4 linked regions of the Arabidopsis thaliana genome follow. The protein of the gene in region 2 interacts with the protein of the main gene of each other region in a pairwise test. Each region holds a gene or a part of one and is shown on either strand. Other genes may lie near its edges. The genes, in order: MEMB12, AT3G28220, DiT1 and AT5G19570.

Evidence for each region.
Region 1: the proteins of AT3G28220 (region 2) and MEMB12 interact in a protein complementation assay, tested with the Arabidopsis thaliana proteins (one large-scale study listed by BioGRID).
Region 3: the proteins of AT3G28220 (region 2) and DiT1 interact in a protein complementation assay, tested with the Arabidopsis thaliana proteins (one large-scale study listed by BioGRID).
Region 4: the proteins of AT3G28220 (region 2) and AT5G19570 interact in a protein complementation assay, tested with the Arabidopsis thaliana proteins (one large-scale study listed by BioGRID).

What each region holds. Positions count from the first base shown.
Region 1 is NC_003076.8:20,536,070-20,541,970, forward strand, and holds MEMB12 (membrin 12), read right to left. Parts: upstream 2,928-5,901; 5' UTR 2,787-2,927; intron 2,491-2,786; exon of another isoform or gene 2,462-2,490; 5' UTR 2,384-2,461; coding exon 2,157-2,383; intron 2,082-2,156; coding exon 1,811-2,081; intron 1,737-1,810; coding exon 1,575-1,736; 3' UTR 1,357-1,574; downstream 1-1,356. Other genes in the region: UBC33 (ubiquitin-conjugating enzyme 33), read right to left, coding at 182-238; AT5G50443 (uncharacterized protein), read left to right, coding at 4,468-4,673, 4,770-4,815. UniProt on the Arabidopsis thaliana protein: Involved in transport of proteins from the cis/medial-Golgi to the trans-Golgi network.
Region 2 is NC_003074.8:10,521,531-10,528,340, reverse strand, and holds AT3G28220 (TRAF-like family protein), read right to left. Parts: upstream 4,161-6,810; 5' UTR 3,922-4,160; coding exon 3,581-3,921; intron 3,484-3,580; coding exon 3,311-3,483; intron 3,140-3,310; coding exon 2,857-3,139; intron 2,253-2,856; coding exon 2,095-2,252; intron 2,002-2,094; coding exon 1,844-2,001; 3' UTR 1,608-1,843; downstream 1-1,607. Other genes in the region: AT3G28223 (F-box family protein), read left to right, coding at 1-672; AT3G28216 (uncharacterized protein), read left to right, coding at 4,917-5,063.
Region 3 is NC_003076.8:4,058,392-4,065,488, forward strand, and holds DiT1 (dicarboxylate transporter 1), read right to left. Parts: upstream 3,899-7,097; 5' UTR 3,529-3,898; coding exon 2,440-3,528; intron 2,211-2,439; coding exon 1,989-2,210; intron 1,899-1,988; coding exon 1,536-1,898; 3' UTR 1,460-1,535; coding exon of another isoform or gene 1,459-1,459; 3' UTR 1,188-1,458; downstream 1-1,187. Other genes in the region: AT5G12850 (CCCH-type zinc finger protein with ARM repeat domain-containing protein), read left to right, coding at 1-797; MYB46 (myb domain protein 46), read right to left, coding at 4,548-5,109, 6,268-6,548. UniProt on the Arabidopsis thaliana protein: 2-oxoglutarate/malate translocator involved with DIT2-1 in primary ammonia assimilation and in the re-assimilation of ammonia generated by the photorespiratory pathway.
Region 4 is NC_003076.8:6,604,127-6,609,025, reverse strand, and holds AT5G19570 (uncharacterized protein), read right to left. Parts: upstream 2,463-4,899; 5' UTR 2,288-2,462; coding exon 1,874-2,287; 3' UTR 1,705-1,873; downstream 1-1,704. Other genes in the region: AT5G19580 (glyoxal oxidase-related protein), read left to right, coding at 106-1,431; ROPGEF10 (ROP uanine nucleotide exchange factor 10), read right to left, coding at 2,896-3,300, 3,386-3,712, 3,797-4,069, 4,414-4,488, 4,591-4,745, 4,856-4,899.

The sequences.
Region 1 (5,901 bases), on a different chromosome or scaffold from region 2:
TCAAAGATACTTCCAAAGTAACATTCATAAGAAAAAAACTTATCCTAGACCAAAAACCATGAAAACTAGCATAGAGCAAAGAAACCACATTTGATAAAAAAAAAAATGAAAATCGAATGGGTAGAATGATACCAGTGACAGACAAATCAAGGATGGGAACAGAATAAGAAGAAAATAATACCTTGCAAAGCGCTCTGTATTCTTTTTGAAGACGCTTTATACAAGCTTTTTCTGCCATCTAAATGCTTCAGGGAGTTCCAATAAACTGTAGTTCCTGTCAACCAAAACAACGAATTGTAAACTGTAGAAAATATAATCCAACCTTTAAGTATGAAATGAATGACAGTAACATAAACCAAATTAAGGTCATCTTCGATAAAGAAACCATCCTGCTTAAGTCATACATCTGGAAAACTGACATGAACAAGCATGTATAATCTACTCCATGACATTGCCGTATAGTTAAGCTATTACTACAATCTCAAGTCACATATAGAGAAGCAACACTTCTTAAAGTATCTGTTCTAAATACAAATTGACAAATTGATACACACACACAAAAAAAGATCACCGTTCAACAAAATTGCCTAAACCCATGAAATTGTGATGAAAACAAAAAAAAAAACTTAAAATTCCAATTAAACAAAACAAACATACACACAAATATTTTGCAATCAGATAAAATTCCAAAACATATCAAAGAATATTCCCTAAAGATCCCTATTGATTTTGAGTCAATCAAGTTAATGAAATCTAAGAAAATCAGAAGAAAGAAAGAAAATAATCGGCGTACCAGTTTGATCAAAGTTTCGTTATTGGATGACCAAGTATAAATCAAAAACACAGGGAAGTGAAATCGTGACAAGGTAAGAGCAGATCCAAGGAAAGAATTGTGAAAATCGGAATCGATCAGGAGCTGGAGCTAATTTGAGATTCTCTTTCTCCGTGTGTGTTTCTCGTTGATTGATGATCAAATCATTCGTTTCTCATATTTCGACGCGGTACAGAGACAAGGAGAGAGGAAAGAGAGAGTGTCGAAATATCAAAAGGAGATTGGTTTTCCTTTAACCGGATCAAAATTATTCCAGTTGAGTCGGTTCTGTATTTAATTATAATTATCCTATCCCGGTTCGGTATTTGTCATAATCAGACCTTTGGGGAATTGACTATTTTGGTCAAAAAAAAACATTGACCATTAATACAATGATGCTAAAGTCAACTGTTTCGAATCACTTTAAATATGAACTGTCTTGAAGCTCATGTTAGTCGCCGAAGCAATGACCCAAACAAATGTAGTAGCTTCTGTGTTAAACAACGATTGCAGTCTCGGAGAAGTTTTGAACAAGTTCTCTTACACTGCGAGCAATACATCATTCTCGGATATAGGAGGAACACATCAAAAGTTGGGGAAGAAAAGTTGGCATAAATCGAGAGCATACTAGACGCAAATGAAATGGAGAATATGTGTACTAGTGTTTTGAAAATGTCTTGTAAGAGGTATAAACAAAACAAAAAAACGTGTTACAAAACTCTCTCCATACAATCTATGGTAATGTAATTAAAGTTCTCTGGTTCTAGCGTGTCCATCTTATGAAGAGATACAATATGACAAGCGTTGCGATCATACCCGCATATTTAATCCAGGTATCAACACGATTACGCCTCTCAATGAGCCTCAATACAGAGTTAGAGAGCCCAACAGTGTTCAGAACATCCAAAGCCTTCCTCTGCGCACTCTGAGAATTCAAAAACCCAATGTTAAAAAACTGTTTTCTTCATTGACTTAAAGCTTAAGTTAGGGTTTGGTTACCTTCAAACGATCCCTTTGTTCAGCATATTTAGAGAGAATAGCAACTCCACTTTGAAACGAATCTTCAAGCATTCTCTTTGAATTCTTAACAGAGTTCATTCCTTGAGCCTCCTCATCAAATATTTGCAAAATGTGAGCTCCTTCTCCACTCCCTCTACCTAACAAATCCGCTCTCTCTTTAGCTTCCAACATCTTCCTCTGATTCCTCCACATGTACTTCTCTAGACTTTGGTTCAAATACTCAGCCTCTTCTCCTACTTGTTCACTCTTCCTACAGCAAAAAAAATCCAAATGCTCAAGAGTTTAACCACTACTTCAGCTATTTTGATGATCTAAACTTCCTCACCTTCTCCAAAGATCACGCTGGGATTTGACAGGGATCGAACGCCAGAGACCGTCCATATTGGAACAAAGAGATTGAACCTCGGTAATGTCTCGTTTCACGGAGGAGGCGAGGTCGGTAGGATCAGAGTCGAACCTCTCCAACTTCTCGATTCCATTCCGAGCTCTTAGTAGAATCCTTTTTGCACTACTATATACCTCAGACAACCCTCCCACTGTCCCAGACGCCATTATACAAACCACAAAGTGACCAAGAACACCGCAGAATCTTCTTCTCTTTGCTGAATTATATCAATATCAACTTCTAATCTGGAACATATATACAAAAACATATTTAAACCAGTTTACTCAAGAATTAATAGTAATCTACATGACATTGACCTATAATTTGGCTCTTAAGTAAAACTTGAATCAAAAGTTAAGCACCTTTCAACAAGATTTGCATAAAACTTAAAATCTAATCCAGACAAATCACTCGATCACGAACCAGCAATTCGATCAAAATCCTAGAAATTATGTTAAGAAAACATCTAATCGGCAATTCATTTGATTCGATCGACTGAAACCAAGAAATTCAACAAAATCGCATTGAGAGAAATCTAAGAAAAGCTTTAGAAAAAATTTATCCGTGTACCAGTTCAATGGAGGCTTGCTTGGGTTTGGAATTTGAATTTGTTACACAAAGCAATTCGTGACCAGATCCGAGGAAAGTTTGTGAAAATCGGATGAGAAATTCTGCGAGGGATTAAAAAAGAATAGCAAGGAGTTGGTTTACTTAAACCGGGAACAAATCCCAATTAAGCAGACGCGCTTGGCTGGTTCTGTTTACAATTCGGTTTTGTAAACAAACACAAGAAATGTAACAAATTAATCAAAGAAAAAAAATGTTCTAAAAATCACGATATTTTTTTTGTTTCTAGTAATCACAATGGTTTCTCCCTTTTCATAAATGGCAAATCTCCCATAAAACCATCTTTTGTATTTTCTATTTTTTCATGGTTATTTTCCTTTATAAAAAAAAAGGGATATCATATGTACATTGTATGGTTTTTAGTATTCTCATAAAATAAAATGTCTTTTGAATTTAAAAGAAAAGAAAAACACTAAATATGAGTTCAGATTTATGAGCTAATTCTAAAAACACTAAAAAATCCGGCCGGTAATTTGAGTTCAAAAACACTAAAAACACTAAATATGAGCTCAGAAAAGAAAAACAATTCGACCGGTAATTTGAACAAAAATAAATAAATCCGAACGATAAAAAATTAAGGAATTGCTAATTAGCCTCTACGGGATCATTGGGGGATTGACACTATCATGGTCAAAGATTGATCAAACAAGCTGTCCATATAATGGTTTGATTAACATAGTTATTACTCCAGCAAGATTTAGCTTAAATACGATTTTTAGGTGTGTATATTTTAAAGTTCTTTTGTTTACATCATAACGTTCTCATAAAAAGTGGATATAAAAAAAAAAGTATATATATATATATATATATATATATATATAAGTTTCACTTTTTCAAAATTGTGCCAGTTGTAAAAGAAACGCAGCCCATGCTAATGAAAAAGTTCCAAGGTATAGTAGTAGTAGCTTCACCTAAAACAATTTGACAAAGATATATTCTTTTTATTATTTATTAGTTTCCGATTTTAATGCAAATAATTATTGAAAATTTGTATTAGTTTACATTGTTAAAAATATGTTTGATTAGAAGAAGATCTTAAATTTTATAAAACTTTCTCTAGTACGTAAAACTCAAACTCTCAAATATATGAAAATTTTGTTTTGCAATTTTCCCATGCAAGTGACTCAAGTCCCAAATATTTGACTGTCTTCTTCTCGCTCGTCCAGTCGTCCCTATAAAGCTTGTTAGGAAAACAAAAATAAAAATGAATGAAAATAATGTTGATGCCTTAGCAATTAGCATAGAGACAAAACACAGCCTGTTAATGTTTTACCTGCAACTTTTGAGATCTCATGAAGTTGGATTTACTAATATTGGTAAACACATAAATAAACGTGTATACATGTGCTTGTATGAAAGTGAGGACACTCTCAACATCAGTGAATGTTCCATAAATTAGTTGATTAAGATAAAAAAAATATCTCAGCATCTGAAATAAATGATTCGGAGAAGAAAAATTAATTCACGTGATCAGATCTCAAAAAAAGTCGCAGGACAATACATACATATCTTACAAAGCCAACAAGCTTTACAAGTTGTCTTTCTCTATCTCCTTCTCTTTAAGACTTTAACTCATCATATTTCTACCTAAAAGTTTTCTCAAGACCTAAAAGAGAATTCACAAATGAAGAGATTCCATCCATCAAGATCGATCTCAATAGCTCTGTTTCTGGTTTTGTTAGCTTTCTTTAGCAGCAAGTTTCACATAGAGGGACATAGAGATTTGAGAGATTTGCAAATAAGCAAAGAGATGAAGCAGAAGTCTCTTGGAGGTGAAGGAGATAGCTTACGGAAAATCCCGAGGAGTCGCTATAGCCCCATACAGAACAAGTAAGTACACGATCAAATATTTTCCAATCTTTTCACACACAAAAAAAACTAAATTATTTGAGATTTTGACATCAAGATTGTGTATTTTTGTACCAGGAGAGGTCCAAGTAGGAAACATCAGATCACATCACATGAACCATAGATTTCATCTCTAGTTTTTTATTTAGATCTTCTGATTTTTTGTATTTTTTTTTTGTTGTAGAATAGTATTGCCTACACTTGTTTGTGAATGCAGCAATGTAGAGTTTGATACTGTTACTATTCTTAGAATGTTTTTTTCTTTTCTTACTGGAAAGTCTTACTCTGATACTGTTCTATTGAGTCAAGGCTCTTTGTTTAGACCTCTAAGGAGTGTTTATTGGATTTTGTAGATTTTGCAACATCTTGAAGCTTATATTTGTATTTATTACTTGACTTTGTATCTGTTGTTTCACCGCATTTGTTCTTCCTCTGTTTTGTTCGATTTTCATCATGTATCTGCTCGTCTTGATTTCAACTGATCAGATTCTGTTGTCATAACAACAACAAAGAAATGGTATTGTAGGGTTTCAAATGAATGAAGTTAATAACATATATATCACCTCTCACAAAATGCCCTCGATGTAAAAAGAAACATGCACAAGAAAACTTGAGAAATTTCTTGAAGGATCAAACTAAATTAGTTACCGAGTAAATAGATGCCGTGGAACATTAGAGTTGTAAGTTACTGACTTACTAGTATGAGAGAAGAATGACTTCCTTTGTTCAATAAGATCATTGGAGATAAACTAATATAACCATATCTGTATACAAACTTTCATGAGCCACTACTTCTAAAATCGCCTAAAATGGATATTTAAAAAGAGTTGTAACAAAATGAAAAACTCCAAATCACATCATGGAAGCCAACAGAAAACGGTTTTCCAATTGTAGAAGTGATTGAGAATAAACAAACAGTTTAGACAGACATAAGAGATACTGAGTTACTGATGATGAATTCAAAGATATTTCATGTCATCCTACTAAATTTGTTTAGGGGTTTCTCACTTTTGTTTCTTTGTTTTTACCTTATGTTCCAAACTTCAATCTTACAGAAGCTGCAACAAGGATTGAAGTCCAAGAAGTATGCTTTATGTTACTTTGATAAGGAATAAGAATTTAAGAGCTTCAAGCGTGGATAGTTTAGTGTTGTTGTTACTTCTTCTCATACTATCTATGAATTCAAAACATGAAACAAATTTACTGCAAT
Region 2 (6,810 bases):
TGGAGTTTCAACACTGTCCAATCTCCTTATCTTTTGAAGCGTGTTGCTTGGTTCAATCCTGTTAGCTTGAATGGAAACCTTTACTGGCTTTGCTACAACAACTATCGTGATCACCTTGTTGTATCCCACAATTTATATGCTACTGGTACGGAATCTGATCAATGCAGAGTTATAGAGTTCCCTCATCTAGAAAACGATGTGTATTTTAGAAGAGCTTTCACAACATCCCAAGGATCTCTTATGTATATGAAAATTATCAATGAAGAAAAAGATGATGGAAGTTTAGGGCTTAAGTTATGTGTATGGAGGTTAAAGAGTGGGAAATGGGAAATAGTATCTGAAATATCTCCGGCTTGTATCAAGAGTGGTTTAGATTACTTTCCGTTGGCAATAAACCCTTTTGATGCTAATAAAATGTATTTGTGGAGTGAGATGCATAAATGTTTAGTATCTACTAGCTTGCTCAAAGGCAAGTTTCGGCGTCACAAGAAGTTGGAATATAGTAGCGATGGTCGCATTATGAGCTTTGCTGGAGACTGGAGCCCGTTTGAACACCTCTTTAACCCATGTTTCTCCAGGTTTGCTCTCCCGCATTGGCTGCATCGGATCCCTTCCTCGCCTCCAACCGACAAGCTTCGAATGCGAATAAGATTACGGAAAAGGGCAACTTAACAAAGTAAGCAGTAATTACTCAAACTGTTATGTTTCTGATATTATTTACCTTTCTTCTCTATACATGTTTAGAATCGTTTTGGCTGAGGATTTGTAGCTTAACTTTTATGTAAATCTTGTCGTAGGGCTTAACATCAGCGGCTTATATTTTTTATTTTTATTTTGTCTACAATTTTTTTATGAGATTTTGATAACACTAGAGATTGTAGGAAGAGCAAAACTTTTTTATTAACCTAAACTTCTTTAGGATAGTTAAGGAATCTTGAATTGTCTATTTGGACGTAAAGTTAAAACCATCCAGAGTTGGAGCTCCCTTCTTTAGTTTCCTTTAGGATAATCAATAAGTGTTCTGTTTCCAAATGAATGGTTTTAGAATCAATGTGTCTTTGTGACTTGTGATGCAAGCAAAGAGCCAAAAACTGTGTGGATAGGGTTGGATTTTCCTCTTTGATTTGCTACGTACGTTTTGTCATCTCCCTTCCAAGCCTTCATCAACTAGTAGAGAGTATTTTCTTTGCTTCTTATTTATTTCCTAAAAGGAACGAGTTGTATTAGATATTGGTAATTTTGATTTGCTTATTGATGATTGTTAAAAATACAATGAAAGAAGAGTATGGATTGGTTACATAGCTTAATTTACATAGAGTATACATGGCAGATATATTATACATTATGAATTGCTTGGTAGATCTATATGTATTATATACACTACATAACCAGAGAAATAATAGAGTAACAAACAGATGAAAGAGAGCAAATAACAAAGAAGCACTCGTGAAACTTAAGAACATGATCGATGTTTATTGTTGGTGCGCAAAGCTTGTTATTATTTCAAATTACTATCATACGCGCAAACTTATTCGGTTGATTTTAGAAGTGTTATTCCACGGTTAGTGTTAGTCTTAGTCGCAGCTAGAATGAAGTAAGAACAAGAGTTTTTCAATGGTAAATTAAGACTGCTTTTATTCTTAGTTTTCATTTATTTAAATAGGAAACAAGTACAAGAAAAGCTAGCTTGGAATCAACGATTTCTACAAACTAGGGAATTGGGAAAAGTGGGAGATAGGCTCCTAAACCTTAGGAAGACCAATCCTCCAATTATTAGCACAAAAACACTTAAAAAACAGAACACAATTGGTTCCAAGCTCTCTGGTTTTGCATTATGCAAAACTTAACTTGGAAAGTATTTTGTGTTAGAGAAATCTTCAAATTCAATCTCCATCTTCAATGTATCATTCACAAGAAGACCTTTAGAAGTATCCTTAAGATCAGCAAATGGTACAAACTTCTGGAATCCCCAACTGTTTGCTTGATCCGACCAGCTTTCAACTGTCATTAAGTTAGTGTTAATTAAACTCTAAAAGAAAAAAATTAATAGAGTAAGTAACATTAGCCACACTATTATGGTTCGATATAATTTACCTTTCTTCTCCATGTGTTTAGAATCTCTCTGGTTTATAATCCGTAGCTTAGCTTTTAGGTAAATCTTGTCATACGGCTTAACATCAACCGCAACAACATATAACGACAACGAGTTACCCTGTCCTTCGCCATCGCCACTTGGATACACTTTCAAAGCCCTAAGAGTTGTATATTAAAATATTGTAAATAGTTAATTTTTTCTTGAATCAGTATTAGTAAGCCTGCGCAAATAAACCTAATCGAATGTACCGAACTAAAATCGAAACAAAATAACAGAATCGAACGGAATCAAAAATTAAAAAATAATCAAATGGATACTAAATTCTATATATAACCGAAAGAACCGAAAGAACCGAAACTAAATGGCTACGTACCAAAATATCCCGGATAACCAAAATATCTGAAATATAAATATATTTCCAAAAATATTAGTTATTTTTAAACTAAATAATTAAAAATATTAGTTATTTTTAAACTAAATAATTAAAAATATATATAAAATAGTTAAAATATTCAAAAATAATCAAAAATATCCAAAAATAACCGAAATATCCAAAAATAATTAAAATATCCGAAAATATTCAAATCAAAATAACGGAATGGATACTAAATTTAAAACCGAAAGAACCAAACCGAAATTTCAAAATAACCAAATAGATAATAACTTTAGAACCGAAAAAACCGATAACGGAATGGATAACCGAACATCCAGGACTAAGTATCAATATGTGGCTTAAAGAATTTATGACATGAGGAACTCACCAGCTTCTCCCACCGATCACGAACTTGTCAGAGACATAGTACTGTTTCTCTAGTGACGAGAAATTGGGTAACGTCCATTTGTAAAGGCGGTCATGCAAACTCTTAGTGAATGAGAACACTTCCCATTTGTTAAAAACTTCAGTGACAAATACGTCCACACCGAATAAAACATTGTCACCGTCGAAAAGCCAACCAGCATTGGGATTAGCCACGTCGGTGTAGGGTCTAACATTACCATATCCCCAATATGGTTTGAACAGAAAAAAGCGTTTTGCATCCGTCTCTGTGTACCAAGACATGCGTTTGAGATTGTGTGTTTTTAAATGCAAATTTTGGCATTTGAAACTATGCAAACTATCAGCGTCTCAATTGTTTTAAATTTAAACGTTGAAAATTTGATTAATACAATATAGTTTATAAATAAGATATAAATAGGGCGTTCGGATGTATATACCTTGATATGTTAAGTACTTGTCCTCTTTCCGGTTATAAATGAAGAATTTGACTTCTGCGTAAACTTCTTTTGGAGAGTTAAGGAGTGTTGAATTGTCTATTTGGACGTACATTGAAACGTAATTAAGTGGAGCTCCTTCCTTAATGTTTCCTTTAGGATAGACAATAAGTGTCCTGTTTGCAAAAGGATATATAGTCTTACAATCAAATGTGTCGTTGAAAATTTGTGATGCAAAGACATATGCAAAATGTAGGATAAAATACTACTTACCAGTTGTATCCACCGGATTCAAAAGGACGGGATTCGTACTTCTCGGCGTTTGGAGAAGTGGCGAATTTTATGAAAGATTCGATTTTGAGACAATAGGTAGATGGTGGGATAACTCTCCATATTTCTCTCCTATCAGATAGCTTATGGGAGGACATTGGGCTATCGATAACGGCAATGGATGATGTTGTTGTTGTTGAAGGTTGTGTTGTTACGATTTTCATGAATTGGAATGCAAAGAAACAAGAAATGAAGCAAGCCAAGCCAATTGCTCCATAGTTTGTCTTTCTCTTCTCCTCTTGAAACATGTGGTCTTCTTTTTTTATCAACCCCTTTTCAGACATGTTTGGTTAAGTGACTGAATTGGTAAGTGTGACGGTTATAATTTATAAGCAAATGACTGGAATATGTAATGGAGTTAGTTAGATATATTTATCTACACACCAAAAAGGTGAGTTAGTTATATATGTATGATGAGTACCAACATTTATTTGGTATTTAGCTTTTTTTGTTTGGTATAAAGAGTTCTTCACCACAAATATTTATAGCGGAGGATCTTTTGTGCGTTCGATAAAAGTGATAATGTTATTATGAACAAGTTATATATTCACGTGTCTTGAGATTTCACGTCGGTATAAGATGGATTGCGACCAGATAAGATTTCTTGAGTTATCGACCAGAAAAGATTTGTTCAACACGTGTTTTCAAGAAAAAGACAAAAGTTTAAGTTGTACCTAAATTTAGCATGTAACGTCAAACACTCCAGACATAGCTTTAGCTAACAACAAGAAATGGACCCAAACGCTCTACACCACAACATAGTTTTGTTCTTCTGTTCCGATCCTAGCCTCTGTTTTTGGATTTAGCTTTAGCTTTAGCTATAATGTAGAACTTCAGTAATCAATACAAAGACTAAAAACTATATTTTATTATATACGTATCAAAACTATCGATTAAATGCTTAATAATTAATTTTTAAAAAATGTTTTTATTTGTAGAAAATATTTTTTATTAATTTATAGTATAATATATAATAATATTTGAGTTTTTATTTTATAAATATCTAGAATTTATAATAAATAAATTATTAGGAATGACCTTCCAATGCTACTCATTTTTAATTCTACCCTTTCATGTAATTCATTTTCATTACTCTCTTTTAATTTTTAATAACCATATATCCTTATTTTTTTAATGTTTAAAGTTAACAAAATAAAATTGTGTTTTTCCTACCAACAATATTTCGACGATAATTTTTTCGCCAAAAATAGTTTTTTTTGTTTGTACAGACGGTAATGTTTTTACATATGATGGAGGCCAGATTCACACACTTGTGTGCATGCAAGAAAATTTTTTTAATAACATGATGGAGTCGGTGGGATTGTCTTTGTTTGGGCAAAGGATACGGTATAAGCTTCCTTTTGAGAAGTTTATAGAGCTGAACCGTTGTATACTAGAGATGATATTTTCGAGAGAATGTGTCTAGCTGCAAAGTGGACAAAAGCGGTTGTTATATTTACGGAGAAGGAATAGATTCTTGAAGAATGTAATGATGAAAAGAGCTTGTGAAAACGTCAATGGTGAGAATGCTCGAGTTTGTGATGATGGAAATGATGTTAGAGGAGGTGATGATGAGAATGACATTTTTAATGTTGGAATCCAAGCTAAAAGTCGGCCACAAAACAACTTGGTGAAGGTCTGATACGTTCATGAGAAGTTGGCACGTGTGAGAACTGAAGTGAGAGATCGGAGTCACGTGTGAAGAAACTTATAAATAGTAAGAGTCTAAGAGAGAGTAGAGAGAAAAGCATCCTTCGTGATCATATTGATGTTGTGAGTAGAATTAGGGCTTATGCATGTGCTCTGTTCTTAGGAGATAAGATTGGAGAACTGTAACTTCAAGCTTATCGATTAGGGTTTTGATTCTTTGTAATTGGATTGATAGATAAGAAATACAAAGGATTACACTTTCATTCTTATCAAGGTCCGAATCAAGTATCACAAATTTCACTTAGTGATTAATTGTGTAAAAGCTTTTGGTTTGGGAAACTTATGATGTTCAGGATGATGGTTTTAATTTGGATTATCGGATTTATGTGTAACATGATGGGATGATGGTTTTGACTATGATCTCGGCTTCAAGATATAGATTATGGTTTTTGGCTATTTGTCTTGAATTTTTAATTTGTAGGATAATGGTTTTTGTCTTGTAATTGCCTCGGGTTTGGTATGTTATATACAACATTATTATGTTATTTATTCATTACTTTTGTGGAGAAAAGAGTGATAGAGATTGCTTGGTAAGAAAATAAACAGACACAGAAATTGGTAACCGAGTTCACGGCCTCAACCGCTACGTCTCGGGGTCTCGGGGGAGATCTCTTGCTCCCAAGCTTCACTAACTTGTGATGATGTCTTTTGGTTTTACAGATTTGCACTCAAGAAGAACAAAGATTCAAGAACAACAAAGAGGAAGAAGAAAGCTTGTTTAGGAAGCTCTTTTATCTCTCTTCTCTAGAACTCTTTTTAGATTCTTTTCTCACCTACCTCCACTATACGTCGTACGTTGTAATGCATATATAGGTGACTTAAATGAGCAACAAACTTTTGCCCACATTTTGTTCTTCTTCACCTTGCCAATTTCGTTGGCCCATTAAGGCCCAATGTTTGTGTTATGTAAAACCCAAACAACAACTTTCAATTGAAACTCAAACTCAATCCAATAAAATACAATCAGAACTCTTAACTCAACAAACTCATACTAACTTTTCATACTTAAAAGATGAAAACATAGACTACAAACCATAACTAAACTACACCCGATAAAATTTTTGAAGTAACGTCGAGATTGAATCTCTTTCTTACTACAAAAGTTCATGGCTTTGAGCTCTCCAATCTCCTTCTCACATCCTTTTAAAAATGCTTTGATGACTTCAATCTCATTTCCATAGCTACTTGATATGGTCACACATGTGCGTGTCTCACCTGCTAGACTCTCCATCTCAGCTCCCACATCATATAAACCTTTCTCTAAGGATCACACATCTACTTGTGTCTTGTAAACAACACTCTCAACCTCTTCCATCTCTTCAACCATAGCTATATCGGTCCATTTGAAACAAATGTCGATTAGCGTACAGCAAAATTGAGTATTATGTTAATGATATTAATCACATATTCTCTTTTGTTCACAAATCGATTTCAGCATTACCTCATTTAAGCCATACGAACAA
Region 3 (7,097 bases), on a different chromosome or scaffold from region 2:
TGAGATCTTCTCTTAACGCTAGAGATATTCCTTCTGAGCAGCTTAGCATGCTGCATGAGTTTGAAATGCAACGTCAGCTTGCTGGCGATATGCACAGTCCACGCTTTATGAATCATTCCGCTCGTCCTAAGACACTGAACCCTTCAAATCTGGAGGAACTCTTCTCAGCTGAGGTTGCATCTCCTCGTTTCTCTGATCAACTTGCTGTTTCATCTGTTCTATCGCCTTCCCACAAGTCCGCGCTTCTTAATCAGCTGCAGAATAATAAGCAGAGCATGCTTTCTCCTATCAAGACAAATCTAATGTCTTCTCCAAAGAATGTGGAGCAACATTCTCTTCTGCAGCAAGCCTCGTCACCCCGAGGCGGAGAGCCTATTTCCCCAATGAATGCTCGAATGAAACAGCAGCTACATTCACGCAGCCTAAGCTCCCGTGATTTTGGATCTAGTCTGCCCCGTGATTTAATGCCGACTGATTCTGGTTCGCCATTAAGTCCATGGTCAAGTTGGGACCAGACCCATGGAAGCAAGGTGGATTGGTCAGTCCAATCAGATGAGTTAGGTCGGTTGAGAAAATCTCATTCCTTGGCTAATAACCCAAACAGGGAAGCAGATGTTTCATGGGCTCAGCAGATGTTAAAAGACTCTTCATCACCTAGGAACGGAAACCGTGTTGTGAACATGAATGGTGCAAGGCCATTGACTCAAGGTGGTTCGAGTGTGAATCCTCACAACAGTGACACTCGTGAGAGCGACATTCTTGATGCGTGGCTTGAACAGCTGCACCTAGATCGCTGAGCCTCAGCTGCGAGAGAGAGGTTCACATTTCTGTGAAGCTGTGAAACTGATGATTCGTTTATTTATTATTCAAGAAAGCAAACGGAAACAAAAGCAAACTCCGGGTAAGCTTTTTTCGATTCTAATAACCCTAAAAGGCTCAGTTTTTTCAGGCTTCTTTCTGAAATTTCTTTACTTTCTTATTTTTATCACCTCATTAAATTAATTATTGTATCATCTCTGTTGTAACAATGGCCAAAGTGCGCCTCTATTACTTCCCGGATTTCTGATTTACATTTTTTGTATCCTCTCAGTTTGTCAATTGTTTCTAATATCTCCTTCATATTTGTCAAAGAACACTGTATGAGAAATAATAACATATTGTTTCAGCTAATAAGATTCATTCATTTCCTATTGCTTTCTCTGCTTTCCTGTTTTTTCCACTAAACTTTAACCAGCGATTCATAGACTAATAGACATTAATCTCTCAACTAACACGTTTATGGAAGTCGAGTAACTATCAAGTAAAGTGGTGGTCTCACTTTGAAACAGTAAAGTTAGAAATCAAACAAAATTGACGCAAGTTAAGATTGCTTACACTTCAAAATGTGTGTGAGTGAGAATAAAAATTGCAGAAAAACTCTGCTCAATCCTTATAACCCTGATTTCAATCCTTCTCAAATCTGAATCTCAAAGCCGTTCTAAGAGATTATATATATAAGTAAGGAAAAGAATGGGAAGATTGGTGTATGGTGGTCCTCACCACAAGCCAATGAACTTCCACCAGGCACCACCTACACCAAGCCAGATGAGAATGTTGACTATTGAAATCAGGAATCCATAGCCCCACCATTTAGCCAGCGGCACGTAGTTAGCTCCGTAGAAGATAGGCGCAGACCCGATACCATAATGGGTCAATCCTCCCATCAGGTTGGAAAGGAACGCAAGAACCAAGGCTGCAAAGTAAGGTGGAGTGCCTAGAGCGGTTGAAACCGATAAAAAGGCAGTGAACATAGCACCAATGTGGGCAGCTCCACTAGCAAAGAAGTAGTGAGTGTAGAAATACAAGAGGACGAGGATTCCAAAAGATAGCTGCCATGACAAACCCAATCCTCCCACAAACTGCAATCAAAACCCAAACAATGTCAAAACATTTCATTAGCATGCTAAGTCATTAGGCTTATTAAGCATTCATCAAATCATTTAACAAACCTTGACTACGGTCTGGCTGAACCACTCAATGAGACCATATTTGTTAAGATAACCAGCCATCGCAATGAGAGCAGCGAACCAGGTGAGTGTGTCCCATGCGACCGACTCAGCTAAGCACTCTTTCCATGTCACAACACCTGTCACAAGAAGGACTGATAATCCAAGAATGGCTGCAGTCACAGCATCTACACCCAACTTAGCTCCAAAGATCCAGAGACCAACCTGTGTCAAGGAGAACACTTTTTTAGAAAAGGAAAACCTTCTCTGTAATAAAACACCAAAACCACAAACATTTTCACTCAAAGCAAATGCATTAAACAGAAGCAAAGCCCTAGCTTAATCTAAGGAGCTACAATAGCTAAAATCTCTCAATGTTCAATACTGAAGCACCTTTCAAATCAAGCTCTCACCATAAGTAAGAACAGATCCGATGAAGCAGAAGCACACTTACCGTGAGGAATAAAGTGGCAGCCATAATCAATTCGTTCTTAGACATAGGTCCCATCTTGTCAAGCTTTTCCTGAGCCAGCTTAGGAGCATCAGGACTGCTCTTCACCGTAGGAGGATAGATGAGATACAAAAGAAACGGAACAACAATCAAAGACACAAGTCCTGGTACAATCGCAGCTTTAGCCCAATCAGTCCATCCAATCGTCTGCTTAATCGTGTTAAACGCCAAATTAGCACTCAAAGGATTCGCAGCCATAGCCGTCAAGAACATAGAAGAAGAGATCACAGAAGTCTGGAAACAAGTAAGCATCAACCACGAGCCAAGACGGTGCTCTGTTCCATCCCCAACGTTACTCCCACAAGCAACACAGAGAGATTTCACCAACGGGAGAAAGATTCCACCGGCACGAGCCGAGACAGAAGGAATCGCCGGAGCTAAAAGAGCTTCACTGAAGACGAGACTGTAACCGAGACCAAGGGAGGAGCTACCGAAGAGTCTAACGAACTGGTAAGCTACACGGTTACCGAGACCGGTTTTGATGAAACCGCGAGCGAAGAAGAAGGCAAGAGCGATGAGCCACGGGATTGGATCTCCGAAAGCGGAGAACGCGGCGGCGAACGTTAGGGTTTTGGTGAGAACGGAAGCTCCTAATCCCATTAGAGCAACAGCACCGAGAGGAAGCGGCTGAGTGATGATCCCGACGATGGTGGCGAGGAAGATCGCGAGTAATTGCCACGCGTTGCGAGTGACACCTTCGGGGACTGGAACGAACCATAGAATCAAACCAGTAGCGATCGAAGCGAGAAGAGGCTTAATGGCAGCTCCTTGCCATGGAACCGGAGCTGGAACCAAAGGAGGAGTTGGAGAAGAGGAAGCTGAAGCGACGGTGGAAGAGGCTTTAACGAGAGTTGATGATCTCCGGCGTAAAGAGACGGGAAGTGGAGATTTGAGTAAGGAGAAGCGAGAATCGAGAGATCGGAGAGGTTTCGTCAAATTGAGAGAGGAAGAAGGAGGACGAGGGAGAGAGAGAGATCGAGATTTGAGAGGGAAAGCGAGAGAGCAGGAGCCGGAGAGAGCGAGAGACGCCATGGTTGTAGCGTCGTCGGCGAGAGAGAGGTGTGAAGAGGAGAGGGAAGTGAAGAAGGAAATGAGTAAGAAGAGGAAAGAGAGAGTTGGATAAATGTTGACCGTTGGATTGGAATCGGACGGTGAGATTAAGAAAAGGAATATACGGACAAGAGTGAGAGAGAGTGATGATGAGATGAGATCGTGAGGTGAGAAATAGAGATCTCCGTCTTTGGTGGGTCAGTCACCTCATCCTATTGGCTGAAATATTTACGAAAAGCCATTTTGGGTTTGGGTTTGGTCTTTTTAGATCGACGAAACATACAAAGCAAAATCCTTCACTCAACAAATTTTCTATTGATTTATTAGCTTTGTTTTTTGGTTTTGAAAGATCTTAAACTATGCGTTTACTAGTGGATCGTCCAATGAAAGATTAACTGGCAATAGAATAGTAGCTTTCATTACATTGTCCAAGATGGGCCGAGATGGCTTCGCTTGGAATTAAATCTAGTGTAAACCCTTAAGCGGCCTCTCGTTTTTTTTTCTTTGAGTGTTATATGGTTCATAGTTTTGATTTGTTTGTTTAGAGTAAGGTGTGACATCAAATATTGAATACATGATTCTTTTATGTAAGAGGATACTTTCTAATGTGAATGTCTAAGAAAGTTACCAAATGTTTTAAAGTACATTCAATAAAACAAAATGTTCAGTTTTATCCAAAGATATAACATCAGAAAAACTTTCATTTAATTAGTTCAATCTTCTCCATTGCTACTTGATTACAAAATTCTTCAAGTGTTTGCCCCTGTTATATTAAAGAATGTATGTGCTTATTATTTCTTTTATTTATTTATTATAGGATATATGTTTTACATTGACTAATCATTACATGGCACCTCAAGGCTCAAGCCCTAGTACGAAAAGATTATTCGAAATACAAAATACTCTCTAACAATGTATATATATTTGCATTTATGTGTGTGTGGCTAAGAATCTTGAGTATAAACCGCAATAGAAAAAAGAATAAGATGACGTAAAAATATTCATATGCTTTGTTTGAAGTTGAAGTAAAACGAAGGAACCTCAGTGTTCATCAACTGGTCAAGGTCCCAAAATTCTTCCACTGGTCTCATACCCTCAGGTGCGTTTCCGGATCCATTAGTGTTCAACTCGTCTAAGTGGTTGTTTATATTTGCATTGTACCAATCACCTTCTTCACATTCCAAAGGTGGGAAGTAGAGTTCCCCTTGTACCCCTGCGTTTACTCCATAGATACCATCTACATAAGGGGTAAAATCGTCATTGCACGGGTGGCTGATCATGTTTCCCGTTGGAAATGGATTGTTGGTTTGTATGTGGGTCAAGGAAGGGTTGACGAAGCCTTGTTCTTGTAAGGACATGAAGCTTCCTATAATGTCTTTAATATCCAAAGAAGATGCGGAATTAGAAGAGGAATCGCTTGCTGTGTTGGGTGATGAGGATGAGTTGTTGATTAAGTTGGAGGTATCGGACATCTTCTTTAGCCTTTTCTTTATTGTTGAGTTCCAGAAATTCTTGATCTCGTTATCGGTCCGACCAGGCAATCGTGCTGCAATCTGAGACCACCTATGAAATCGAAGAATAAGAGAGTAGAATAGTTTAATGAGATGATGTTATGTAAAATGTATACCAGTGCATGGTTTGCATGGGAATTAGAGAGTGATCCGTTCTTCATGTTTTTTATGTTTGAGTACGTGAAAAAGAGGCAATATATCAACAATTATAAAATTGCACAATCATATTAAGCAATAAAATGACATTATACACACTGCGTGTTTTGAATTGAATCTATATATATATATATATATATATATATATATATATATATATATATAAATAGAGAGGAAACATGTCCTGCGTAAAAAACACTAGAACGTATATTTCTGGAGAAAGTGACAAAAAAAGGAACTAATAAATATATAATTACAAAGATGAAAGTTGAAGTAAAACCCTAAGGAAGAGAAGAAAAGGTGTGTAAAGTGACAAAAGCCGCTTTCACTAAAATAAGTGTTTGTTGTTAGATAAGATCATAAGACGCACTCTAAGTCTTAAAACCCACGATCAACGAACTTTGACCACTCACATAATTACATGTGAATGTACTCATACCTATTTTGGTTTTATGCGTCTATTTCCATTCTTACTACTATTATTCTAATTCAACTTTCTTTTGGGTCAATTTTCTTCGTACACAATCATTCTTCCCTTTGAATTTAAACAGTTACTAATCGTACCAATGAAAACTCGACCAAACTTTATCCTTCCACGTAAGTTTGATTATACATTTTACGATGTTAACGTATCTTATATATATAGTATTACTTTTTACTGATTAATGTAATAGTATAATTGAAAACTCGTCCTTAAAACAAACATAGATATTATACCTCTAAATAGATAGCTCTGCACTTCTTATTTATTTGGTAGAAAAAAAAAATCAAATAAAATATGGTGAAAACGTTATCAAGATCTAATTTGACAATTTGGTCGTTTTAGGGTGGACTTTTTTTTTAAAATCAGTTGACTGGCTTTTCTATGCTTTAACTTTGTACCCATTAACCGAAAACAAATTAAGCTACACAAGTTTAAAAACAAGACTCACCAGACAAAAGCTAGTTTGCCAGAACATTTATATTTATCTTCCGGCCACTAGTTTCCATATTTTATTCTATCTCTTAGTTGTTGTTATTATGTCAAAACCAAAATGATGGTAAAAATGTAAACCTGTTGCCGAGGATGGAATGAAAGCGAATGATGAGATCCTCTTCTTGAGGAGAGAAAGCGCCACGCTTGAGGTCAGGACGAAGATAGTTGATCCAACGAAGACGGCAGCTTTTGCCACATCTTTGAAGTCCTGCGTTTTTCGCAACATCACTCCAACATCCTTGTCCATTGCTTAACATGTATTGCATCAGCTTTGAGTCTTCCTCAGGAGACCAAAGTCCCTTCTTCATCTTCTTTACTTGGTGAGTACTAGCTGCAATGGCTACCTCTGGCTTCCTCATATTTTTGGTTGAGTTAATTGTTATTATTTCTCTTCAATTTGTTTGTCTTTCTCAAGGATCCATTGATGTGAACGAGTGAAGTTTGTTTTATAATAGAGAGAGAAAAGAGAGAAGACTTGATGAAGGGAGAATGATGATGATGAGAAAGGGATGGTTGTATGGTTTGCTTACAATTCTGGGAAGAAAAACCATTTGCACTTCTTCCTTTTTAATCTCTATTCCTTAATTATATTTTTATTGTATATATTATATTTATAATATAGTGTTGCTTTGTTTTAAAACATAAAAGAAAAACATCCGAACCCTGGCTCTTTTTCAAATTAAACACATTTTTTTTGTCGGCATATATTGTGTAAGGTAAATAAAATAAAATACACCAACAACAAATGTATGTTTTGTATATAACTAATTTGACGAAATGAAGAAACGTTAGTTGATCGGTCATGGACGAAAACGGTTTTGAAAAAGACCCGATATGCAAAACATCAAAGAAAAAAAGGAGAAGTGCTCTTCACTTGTTCTTAATTTTATTTTCTTCTTTTCTTGTTC
Region 4 (4,899 bases), on a different chromosome or scaffold from region 2:
TTTTTTTTGGGCCTAGGCCTAGACACGGGTTATCTTCTTCTCATTAAATAGAATCATATTATACGAACTTGAATTAAATATTTGCATTCACATGTTTCATGATAGCTTTCCACCGATACATGGTGCTCATCCGGAGGTCTGACCGTAAATGGTACATTGGTGAGCACTGGAGGATACGGAGGAGGAGCCAACACCGCGAGGTACCTATCCAGCTGTGAAAACTGCAAGTGGGAAGAATACCCTCAGGCATTGGCCGCGAAGAGATGGTACTCAACGCAAGCAACTCTCCCTGACGGAAAGTTCTTCGTGATTGGTGGAAGAGACGCCTTGAACTACGAATACATTCCTGAGGAGGGACAAAACAACAGGAAGCTCTTTGACTCATTGCTCCTCAGGCAAACAGACGACCCGGAAGAAAACAACCTTTACCCTTTCGTCTGGCTTAACACCGACGGTAACCTCTTCATTTTCGCTAACAACCGATCCATCCTTCTAAGCCCCAAAACAAACCAAGTCATCAAGGAGTTCCCTCAGCTCCCAGGTGGTGCCCGTAACTACCCGGGATCAGGTTCTTCCGCACTCCTCCCCATCCAACTTTACGTGAAAAACCCCAAGGTCATCCCAGCCGAGGTTCTCGTCTGTGGTGGTTCCAAACAAGACGCGTATTACAAGGCTGGTAAAAAAATATACGAACCAGCACTACAAGACTGCGCCAGGATAAGGATCAACAGCGCAAAGCCACGATGGAAGACGGAGATGATGCCAACCCCACGAATCATGAGTGATACTGTCATCCTCCCTAACGGAGACATCCTTCTAGTCAACGGAGCTAAACGTGGTTGTTCAGGCTGGGGATATGGTAAAGACCCTGCCTTTGCTCCCCTCTTGTACAAGCCCCATGCTGCACGTGGCAAGCGTTTCAGACAGCTCAAGCCCACCACCATCCCACGTATGTACCACTCCAGCGCCATCATTCTTCCAGACGGTAAGGTTCTTGTCGGTGGCAGCAACACCAACGACGGTTACAAGTACAACGTTGAGTTCCCAACGGAGCTTCGCGTTGAGAAATTCTCCCCACCTTACCTCGACCCGGCTCTAGCCAACATAAGGCCAAAGATCGTCACCACCGGCACCCCAAAACAGGTCAAATACGGACAATTCTTCAACGTGAAGGTCGACCTTAAAGAAAAGGGAGCAACCAAGGGAAATCTCAAGGTTACCATGTTAGCCCCTGCCTTCACAACACACAGTATCTCAATGAACATGAGGATGCTCATCTTGGGTGTCAATAATGTCAAACCTGCTGGTGCCGGTTACGATATCCAGGCCGTTGCACCACCAAATGGAAACATCGCTCCACCGGGTTACTATCTTATCTTTGCCATCTACAAAGGTGTTCCCAGCACTGGAGAATGGATTCAGGTCGTCTAATGACGATAATTTTTACCCATTTTGTCTTATGACCGTAACATCTTAATATAAAACAATCACATAATATCAGTTTTTTTTTCCTTCTATATATATTGTTTATGCCACCATTAATGGATCCAAATTACTTGTGTTTTCTTTCACTTCTATAAACTTTTCCGTTCATGTAAACCTTTTCGGTGAGTTTTTATGACTAAATTTTGTATTGGAGAAATTCTTTTATTATTACTTTTGGCTCTATTCTTTCTTCACTAGTTCGGTTTTGCGTATAAATCATTCGATGCGTTCATTGCAAGTCACTGTTTGTTTCATTGACTAGTAATGTTAATTACCTTCGATAATATTGCAGAGAGTTAGCTAAAATTCTCAAAAGATGGTACACAAATAGTTCTTTCGCAAAATAGATCTCACAGAAACAGAGTCACGGTTTTACAAAATTCGAATTTCACAGAACACAAAGCCAAATTCCAAATACAATAAAGCTCGTACCTAACAAAGCAAGTCCGATTTGAGTTTCTTCCCCTAAAAGGATCCCAAAAGCGGCGGTTGCGGCAAAGGTTGTGGCGTTAGTCACCGGAACGGCAAGAGAGATGGGAGCGTGACTGAGAAGGGCGAAGAATGTGGCGGAGGCGGAGAGGTTTATGAGGAAAGGAATTGAGTATTGCCAGAAGAGGAGGAGATTGATCCAGTCGCGGAGAGCAATCATGATTTTGCGGCGGATCTGAAGAGGAGGAGAATGAGATTCTGTTGTCGAAGAAGACTTTGTTTTATCCCAGGCAAGAGCGCCACGACGGATCAGAGCATTGGTGGCTCCCCATACGAGCCCTACCGCCACCATCTTATCCATGTCTTCCTTCATCGCCGGTGGCTGATCCCGATTTGCCTTTTCCGTTGTTCTGTGTTTTAACCACTAAATGTTGAGTAAAGGAGATCAAAAAGAAGAATTATTTGGATATCCAGAACCGACCCGAACCCGAAAGGTACCGAACTAAACCCGATCCGAAAAATTTAAAAATCCAAATAACGGACCCGAATACCTGAATAGTCCGGATGGTAAACACAGATCAATGGTATTATCACAAACCACTAAATTACATGTCGTCATCAAATAATGTTTCATTACAATACTACTACACTACTAGTCATTATCAATGAGCTTCAAAATCCATTAGGAAACAATGTTGTAGATTAGACGTTACAATACAAAACACCAAAGAACAAAAATACCAAAATATTGTTACACACTGAATCACACTTCCTTCTTAGAAAAAACAACAGGAAGCAATAGTCAAAACAAGCAACAATCATGATCAAACACCAAGTCTCATGTCCAAATCCTAAAACCAATGCCTGCATTGTTATATATGTACATTCTCACACACTTTAACCTTCTTCTATTCTCTCTCTCTCACTCTCTTTGTGTTTTTCTTCTTCTATGCCCTGTTCTATTACCTTCTCTTTTCACTATCAGTGTCTGTCACTAGGGCTTCTCATGTTCTCTAACTTTGCTAGATATGAAAATTTCTTCGGTAGAGCTCTTGGAGACTTCATCATGGGCTTCTCCTTCTCCTGCTCAACTTTGTGGAAGAATTCTATATCACTCATTGAACTATGCTTCTTAGTATCAGATGACAATCTCCACCCTATGAAGTCTGATAGTTTCCTCGAGTTTGGTGTTTCCGCTGCAACCACCTTTTCAGTTTCCTCGTATTCTGATTCTGCCTCGCTTTCTGATCTTGTCTCTGCCTCTCCCATCAACTGTCTTTGAACTAGCCGATCGGCTTCAAGAACATCCTCTATTCTTGACATTATCTTTGAAGCAAGACTCTCTAGTACCCTTGAATAGCTCTCCAAAATCGCCTGTCCAACATCCTGTAAGATCAAATCACAACAAACTCTTACTCAGTCTCACTACATTTTTGTTGATGTTTGTTTAGTCTTTGTTATGTTATGTTACCTTGTTGTTTTTAATCTTGGAGACTTCAAGGGAGGATTGTGGGATCCCAGGAAATTGTTGTTTGAGCATAACCAAAATGGTCTCAGCTCGGACTTCGAAAAGCTCCCTCTTCTCTAAGCTAACAGTGGATCCCCACTGAGATTTCCCGTCTTTCTCTTTCTGGCACATCTTCCTCTTCCAGATCACCATGGAAGCTTCAATCCTGTTCTTTAGATCAAGTACTTTGTGTTCCGTTGACAAATCCAAGAAAGAGACAAAGTAGTCAGGATCAAAGCTCTCCTCTGTTATGCTCTTGTAAAGAAAATCTCCCAAGCTTGTCTTCCCATTCTACATAACCAACAGCCTCATCAGCTTCCTAGCTTAGTGGAAATTGTAAAGAAACAGAACACTTTTGAAGAAGAAGTAAGTAACCTTTGGAAGGGAATCAATGTAGTTTTCAGGAACGTGCATTTCAGACAATACATGAGCATTGATGGCCGTGGCGGCTTTAAGGACTTGAGCCACAGAATCTTTCTGATTCTGCAACCATCTACGTGATTCCTCAGACAAGCCATCTGTTGGAACCTTAACAACTGGTAACCACCAGTTCTCATCCCTCCTCCAATCTCCATTGTGATCTGCATCCTCCATATCTCTTGGCACATACCAAAAGTCTTTCTGATCCTTGAAGTTGTCCAAAGTTTCCTGCCAAATGAGTAATTGCATTAGTATGATAAATGGTCACAACTCATCTATTTTTGTTTGTTATATATATATATCATGATCATTTTATAATACATGCACTCCTATATGAAATTAATTAATGAGATGGTACTCTTGGTGTTATGACGTTTTCAGTTATATTTATCTTTATAATTTGCAAAGATGACTATGACTTGTAGTATATATAGTAGTTTGTCCTAGTGTCATGGATATTGTTGCAAACAAAATATTTTTGAAACGATGTGGTGTTTGATATAATATAATGGTTTAATTTTTCCCAAACGTTGAAACCGCGGTTGAAACAATCAAGTAGTAATTAAACTCACGAGAAGAACCGAGTCAAGTTTGCGTAAAGCTGGAATGTTCGTCAGCAAATCATCTCTTTGTTTTGTAACCATGATCTACAAAGGAGAAAATTAGGGTTAATAAGAAAAATCGTCACTAGTAGACTAGTAGTTGTTATATATGTACGTAATTAATGACTAACAGTTGCATGCATTCACCTCAGTGAATTGGCCATTTTTACCCATTTGTCTAGAAGGAACAAACTGGACAATGTGATCAATCACAGATAATAACCAACCCATTTCTTTCCTCCAATTCTCTTTTGTCTCCGGATACATAGGCTGCAATTTCATCTGCTCTCCAAACATCGAATCTGCATGCCAATACCAAAGCCACATTAATTAGTTTGTGACTTATTTTAACCATTCAAATCGTTATTAGACATTTAATGTTTTAATCATATTAGTAGTGTTAAAGGTTTACCAGCGAGTTTGGTGATGGCGTTTGACAAAGCTAACGCAGAGGTC